Linked DNA regions of Saccharomyces cerevisiae S288C. Each later gene encodes a partner of the first gene's protein in a complex. Each region holds a gene or a part of one and is shown in the gene's direction. Other genes may lie near its edges.

The links.
Region 2: the proteins of YPT1 (region 1) and GDI1 are in contact, whole or in part, in a crystal structure (PDB 1UKV), measured with the Saccharomyces cerevisiae proteins. Residues at the interface, in NP_116615.1 of Saccharomyces cerevisiae: Thr40 (codon at 1,815), Ile41 (codon at 1,818), Gly42 (codon at 1,821), Val43 (codon at 1,824), Asp44 (codon at 1,827), Phe45 (codon at 1,830), Trp62 (codon at 1,881), Asp63 (codon at 1,884), Thr64 (codon at 1,887), Ala65 (codon at 1,890), Gln67 (codon at 1,896), Arg69 (codon at 1,902), Phe70 (codon at 1,905), Thr72 (codon at 1,911), Ile73 (codon at 1,914), Thr74 (codon at 1,917), Ser75 (codon at 1,920), Ser76 (codon at 1,923), Tyr77 (codon at 1,926), Arg79 (codon at 1,932), Gly80 (codon at 1,935), Asp107 (codon at 2,016), Arg108 (codon at 2,019), Tyr109 (codon at 2,022), Ala110 (codon at 2,025), Ser112 (codon at 2,031), Gly189 (codon at 2,262), Asn190 (codon at 2,265), Val191 (codon at 2,268), Asn192 (codon at 2,271); in NP_011062.1 of Saccharomyces cerevisiae: Thr5 (codon at 2,038), Ile6 (codon at 2,041), Tyr44 (codon at 2,155), Gln55 (codon at 2,188), Lys76 (codon at 2,251), Arg78 (codon at 2,257), Asn81 (codon at 2,266), Thr96 (codon at 2,311), Leu99 (codon at 2,320), Ile100 (codon at 2,323), Asp103 (codon at 2,332), Thr105 (codon at 2,338), Arg106 (codon at 2,341), Tyr107 (codon at 2,344), Asp109 (codon at 2,350), Phe110 (codon at 2,353), Lys111 (codon at 2,356), Gln112 (codon at 2,359), Ser156 (codon at 2,491), Cys221 (codon at 2,686), Gln222 (codon at 2,689), Ala225 (codon at 2,698), Arg226 (codon at 2,701), Tyr227 (codon at 2,704), Leu233 (codon at 2,722), Met236 (codon at 2,731), Tyr237 (codon at 2,734), Glu241 (codon at 2,746), Gln244 (codon at 2,755), Ala247 (codon at 2,764).

What each region holds. Positions count from the first base shown.
Region 1 is NC_001138.5:54,866-57,683, reverse strand, and holds YPT1 (Rab family GTPase YPT1), read left to right. Parts: upstream 1-1,697; coding exon 1,698-2,318; downstream 2,319-2,818. Other genes in the region: TUB2 (beta-tubulin), read right to left, coding at 1-1,348. UniProt on the Saccharomyces cerevisiae protein: The small GTPases Rab are key regulators of intracellular membrane trafficking, from the formation of transport vesicles to their fusion with membranes.
Region 2 is NC_001137.3:437,591-441,755, forward strand, and holds GDI1 (Gdi1p), read left to right. Parts: upstream 1-2,025; coding exon 2,026-3,381; downstream 3,382-4,165. Other genes in the region: YER134C (Mg-dependent acid phosphatase), read right to left, coding at 1-213; YER135C (uncharacterized protein), read right to left, coding at 362-754; YER137C (uncharacterized protein), read right to left, coding at 3,783-4,165. UniProt on the Saccharomyces cerevisiae protein: Regulates the GDP/GTP exchange reaction of SEC4 by inhibiting the dissociation of GDP from it, and the subsequent binding of GTP to SEC4. Plays an essential role in the yeast secretory pathway.

The sequences.
Region 1 (2,818 bases):
CATCTTGGTTTTGTGGAGCACCAAAATCGCCATTTTCGTCGACTTCTTCATCATCTTCTACAGTAGCCTCTTGGTATTGTTGGTATTCGCTAACCAGATCATTCATATTAGATTCAGCCTCAGAGAATTCCAATTCGTCCATACCTTCACTAGTATACCAGTGCAAGAAAGCTTTTCTTTTGAACATAGCGGAAAATTGGTCACCAACTCTCTTGAATAGCTCTTGAATAGATGTGGAGTTAGCAATGAAAGTAGCAGCCATGTCCAAACCTTGAGGAGCGACAGAACACACAGCAGTTTGCACATTGTTGGGGATCCATTCCACGAAATAGTCTGAGTTTTTAGATTGCACTTTATGCATTTCATCTTCCACCTCCTTAACGGAAACTTTACCTCTAAAGAAGGCTGCAACGGTAAGGTATCTACCGTTTCTTGGATCGGCAGCAGCCATCATGTTCTTGGCATCAAACATTTGCTGTGTTAATTCAGGGACAGTCAAAGATCTAAATGATTGAGAGCCAATTGCCGTCAATGGAGCGTAGCCGACCATGAAGAAATGTAAACGTGGGAATGGGACAAGATTAACAGCCAACTTTCTCAAATCAGAGTTCAATTGGCCGGGATAACGCAATGAAGTTGTCACACCAGACATGACGCTCGAGACCAAGTTGTTCAAATCTCCATAAGAAGGTTGATTCAACTTTAAGGTCCTTTGACAGATGTCATAAAGTGCTTCGTTATCGATACAGAATGTTTCATCAGAGTGTTCTACCAATTGGTGCACAGACAACGTGGCATTGTATGGTTCGACAACGGTGTCAGAAGTCTTCGGAGAGGGCAAGACGGAGAAGGTGGCCATCATACGATCAGGAAACTCTTCCCTAATCTTCGAGATCAAAAGCGTACCCATACCGGAACCGGTACCACCACCAAGAGAATGTGTGATCTGGAAACCTTGAAGGGAGTCGCATCCTTCGGCCTCTCGTCTAATAACATCCATGACGCTGTCTACAAGCTCAGCACCTTCTGTGTAGTGACCCTTGGCCCACACGTTGCCCGCAGAACTTTGCCCAAAGATATAATTGTCAGGTCTAAACAAATTCCCGATGGCAGAATTGCGTACTGCGTCAATCGTCCCAGGTTCTAGATCGACGTTAATAGATCTTGGAACCCACTTCCCAGAAGATGCCTCGTTGAAGTACACGTTCAGTCTCTCCTTCTGGATATCGTCATGGCCGTGATATGTCCCATTGAAATCCAAACCGTGCTCACCACAGATAGTTTCCCAGAATGCAGCACCAATTTGGTTACCACACTGACCTGTCGAGATATGAATGATTTCTCTCATTATATTACTTTGTGGAGATTTTGCTTTTGTAGTTGTAGTAGCTGCTATGTCACTCCAATTGCCTCACCACTACTTCACTTAGATCTATTAAAGTTTTCGTGTTTGTTTTAGTTTTTGTTGTTTTTTCTGTTTTTTTCCTTTTTCCTTGTGGCGTCGCCTAGGTCACTGTACACGTATATCGTGACCCGGCGCCAAATTCCTGATAGTACTATTTTTTTTGGCCCATGGGGGGAATAAAGAAAAAGAAGAGAAGCCAGAACAAATTCAGCGATTAAGTGCACCAGTTTTGAGGAGGATATCTTTACTGTTAGGCCCAGGTTGAAATAAATAAAACAAGAAAAGCACTAATATGAATAGCGAGTACGATTACCTGTTCAAACTGCTGTTGATCGGGAATTCCGGTGTCGGGAAGTCCTGTTTACTTTTGAGGTTTTCGGACGACACATATACCAACGACTACATCTCCACAATTGGAGTGGACTTCAAGATTAAGACTGTAGAACTGGACGGCAAGACTGTAAAGCTACAGATTTGGGACACTGCAGGTCAAGAACGTTTCCGTACTATCACTTCATCTTACTACCGTGGTTCGCATGGGATCATTATCGTGTATGATGTCACTGACCAAGAATCCTTCAACGGCGTGAAGATGTGGCTGCAAGAGATTGATCGGTATGCAACCTCAACAGTGTTGAAGCTATTGGTAGGTAACAAGTGTGATTTAAAGGACAAGCGTGTCGTGGAATATGACGTGGCAAAGGAATTTGCGGACGCGAATAAGATGCCGTTCTTAGAGACTAGTGCTTTGGACTCCACCAACGTCGAGGATGCGTTTTTAACCATGGCTAGACAAATCAAGGAAAGTATGTCCCAACAAAACCTGAACGAAACCACTCAGAAGAAGGAAGACAAAGGGAACGTCAACCTGAAGGGACAGAGTTTAACCAACACCGGTGGGGGCTGCTGTTGAACAAGCGCGCCTCTACCTTGCAGACCCATATAATATAATAACTAAATAAGTAAATAAGACACACGCGAGAACATATATACACAATTACAGTAACAATAACAAGAGGACAGATACTACCAAAATGTGTGGGGAAGCGGGTAAGCTGCCACAGCAATTAATGCACAACATTTAACCTACATTCTTCCTTATCGGATCCTCAAAACCCTTAAAAACATATGCCTCACCCTAACATATTTTCCAATTAACCCTCAATATTTCTCTGTCACCCGGCCTCTATTTTCCATTTTCTTCTTTACCCGCCACGCGTTTTTTTCTTTCAAATTTTTTTCTTCCTTCTTCTTTTTCTTCCACGTCCTCTTGCATAAATAAATAAACCGTTTTGAAACCAAACTCGCCTCTCTCTCTCCTTTTTGAAATATTTTTGGGTTTGTTTGATCCTTTCCTTCCCAATCTCTCTTGTTTAATATATATTCATTTATATCACGCTCTCTTTTTATCTT
Region 2 (4,165 bases), on another chromosome or scaffold:
CATTAACTTAACTCCATTATCTTTAAGATCACCTAGTATACGTGGGATATCTTTGTAGATTGTGAGCTCGTAACCATCTCTACATATAATTGTGAGAACTTCGCCATTACTACTTTTAACTGGCTTAAAGGGACCGTGCAAATGGGTATCACAATAGCAGGGCCAAATGGTGTAGTCCAAATCGAAGGCGGCCACGTCAGGGTATCCAGTCATAATAAACGCGTTGAGACTATTTTGGAGCAGGATTTGTAACAAAATTGTTCTCTTTGTAAGTTTAAGGACAAAAATGCTTGTTTCTCGAGAAGGTCTCCTTTTCGGCAGGTCCTTCTTCTAGTGCGTGAAAAATATTCTACTCAATCCCTTAGTATTCTTTGTAAACAATACACTTTAAAGAAATATGAATGCTTATCTGCTTTTCAACAATCATTTTAGAGTTCTTATTCACTGAGGTGCGAATGGGTACGAAATTTGTTTCAGGAGAATTTAGCTTGTTGCACACAAATTTCTGCCATTTATATCTGCAAGATCTGTTTCCCTCTTTCCAACTAGCGAGGCATATTAGAAAAAGAGTGAATAGTAACTTGTGTAAGTTTTGATGTAACGGTAGTATAGAGTACCTATAATATTCGCCGATTATATTCTCAAAACTTGTAAATAACGCCATGTCACCGTATGGAGAAAGTGCTAACCAAATTGTAATATCGACCAAGACCTTTTTCTGTGAATTATGTAAGTTTCTTAAAGTCCATGTCATGCTTGAAAGATTTTAATCAACCTTGCATTTGTGGTCGTTAAACTCAAAGGGGATATTCAAACGACAATCGACAACTAACTTCGAATAAACTAAGATTCACTTTATTGGGATATAATCAATTACCCTTCATTAAGTGGTGTATATGTTCCTGACGTATTGTCATTTTCGGGATAAGAGGTTTGATGACTATTTCTCGATTTTCATGTCATCCTCTTTACACCGTACGTGATAATACACTAATTACACGATATAACTGAGCAATGATATTTTAGAGCTTCATCTCCACAATTTCATGTGTAAATCTTAAGAATTGTAGATATATTCTATTTTTTAATGAAACTTTTTCAACAAATTAGGTTTCGTGGTCTAGTCGGTTATGGCATCTGCTTAACACGCAGAACGTCCCCAGTTCGATCCTGGGCGAAATCAATTTTTTTTTTCGAAAACGTTATAATTTACGTTAATTTACAAAGGGCATTCCTTTCATACTAAGCAATGTTTACTTCCAATCTCTTGAGACATCTTCGAAACTAGTTGAAAAGAGACAAATCCGCTTAATAACTAATAGTTACAAGAATGGCCAATCAAACTCTTGCCAAGCGATACAAGCTTTACAATCCTGTAACAAAAACATACTTTTAGCGGTTCCGACGGTATTCTTCTTTTTCTCCATATATTTTGCTTATGTTGGCTACTTTAAAATAATTACCGCTTCCCCCACCAGAAACTAAACATGAGCTAAAGGCGCAAAACTTAAAAAATTACATAGCCAAGACTGTTTTCAAGAAAAAAATATCAGACCACATTTGATAAAGTACATACCTCTGTTAACTCCCGTAATACACCCATATTCTTGTACTTTCTACAATCTATCACTCAAACTTCTCTATTATCCAACATCTGCTGTTGCATAGTAAAGTAGGCCGTAAACGCTCAAAACCGTTATCTTTAGGTTACCCTTATGTTTGAATCGTTTATCTCACATTGGCGGTGTTTTCCCCTCTCCTGTGGGCTCCAAAATCTTGGCCGTGGGAAGCTTCAGCGAGGGATTGTAGATGTAGTTTCAACACGTCGGCTGATTTATCCCGATTTTGTTAGTAGAAAAGGTTCTACTTCATTCTTGCTTGAGACGTCGTCCCATCAAATTTCTAACATAGTCTTTTTTCAAGGAAGGATATTTTTCAAAGCAGGACTGCAATTAGTCTTTTCCTTTTCTTTACTCCCCTTCCATCATAACTGTTAGTGAATAACCACTTATATAGCATAACACAATGGATCAAGAAACAATAGACACTGACTACGACGTGATTGTCTTAGGTACCGGTATTACCGAATGTATCTTATCTGGTTTACTCTCTGTAGATGGAAAAAAGGTATTACATATTGACAAGCAAGACCATTATGGTGGCGAAGCTGCTTCTGTGACCTTATCTCAATTGTATGAAAAATTTAAACAAAATCCGATCAGTAAAGAGGAACGGGAGTCCAAGTTTGGTAAAGATAGAGATTGGAATGTCGACTTAATTCCTAAATTCCTGATGGCCAATGGTGAGCTGACAAATATTTTAATACATACCGATGTGACCAGATATGTCGATTTCAAGCAAGTTTCTGGCTCCTACGTTTTTAAGCAAGGCAAAATTTACAAAGTGCCAGCTAATGAAATAGAAGCCATTTCATCGCCATTGATGGGTATTTTTGAAAAACGTAGAATGAAGAAATTTTTAGAATGGATTAGCTCTTACAAAGAAGATGACTTGTCCACTCATCAAGGATTAGACTTAGACAAGAATACCATGGATGAAGTGTATTATAAATTTGGGTTAGGCAATTCTACCAAAGAATTCATCGGTCATGCAATGGCTTTATGGACCAATGATGACTACTTACAACAACCTGCTAGGCCATCGTTTGAGAGGATTTTGTTATATTGCCAAAGTGTTGCCCGTTACGGTAAATCACCTTATTTGTATCCTATGTATGGGTTAGGCGAACTTCCACAAGGATTTGCTCGTTTGTCGGCTATTTACGGTGGTACTTACATGCTAGACACTCCAATTGATGAAGTATTGTATAAAAAAGACACAGGAAAATTTGAAGGGGTCAAGACTAAGCTGGGAACTTTCAAGGCCCCATTGGTTATTGCTGATCCAACTTATTTTCCCGAAAAATGTAAATCTACTGGTCAAAGAGTTATTAGAGCCATCTGTATTCTTAACCATCCAGTTCCGAACACCAGTAACGCGGATTCTTTACAAATTATTATCCCACAAAGCCAACTGGGAAGGAAAAGCGATATATACGTTGCGATTGTTTCAGATGCGCATAACGTTTGCTCCAAGGGTCACTATTTAGCAATTATTTCTACAATCATTGAAACTGATAAACCACATATAGAATTAGAGCCTGCTTTCAAACTTCTGGGACCAATCGAAGAAAAATTCATGGGAATTGCCGAATTATTTGAACCAAGAGAAGACGGCTCTAAGGATAACATTTACTTATCCAGATCATACGACGCATCCTCTCATTTCGAATCCATGACTGACGATGTTAAAGATATTTACTTCAGAGTAACAGGCCACCCATTAGTTCTAAAACAAAGACAAGAACAAGAAAAGCAGTAAATTCATACCTTTACGACTAAAGCAGCAATTGGAGGGTAAACTTATTTTTTCCGATAATGTTCTTGGCAAATGAGTTACCAATAAATGACATGAATTACAGAAAACAAGAAAATATTTGCCAAAAAAAAACCAATACAAAAATATAGGGGAAAAGATTATCCTTTATTCCTTTCTCATTCCACTTTTTTTTTTTGTTATATGCGTATTCTGATTGATTCATAACTAAGTATCTTTCCTTTTCTTTTCTTTCAATTTCTTTTTTCCATATATAAATACATAAATTTACATACCTTATGTAGTATAATATATGGAAGAATGCTACTGAACACATCAGTACACATGCTATGTACTTACAATCTTAGTAAGGTAGATGTAGGTCTAATGCTTCGATGATCCCTTCATTATTTCTTGGGTATAACTGTCAGTCTCGCACCGCAGTGTGCCCTTGTGTGGCCAGCCTCGTGACAAAATGAACATTTTATCTTATTTTTTTTCTTTTTACTACTCTTTTTGCTGGTTACTCCCTGAATAGTGCTCGTAGTTTTATCTGCCTCTTCCTTGGCTTTAATCGGTATCAGGGCATATTTTTGATCGTCTTTTTCCATGATCTCTATTCCATTCCGCAGTACCATGTCAAGAACACTAGTATTCATCATACTTCCCACAGTGCTTTCATGCAATCCCAGTAGTAGGTTAATGAATTTCTCTAATTCTTTCAACTTATGCTCGTACTCAACTTGTAATTGTGATCCATCTTTTTGCTTTGAAATGATCAACTTAGCCA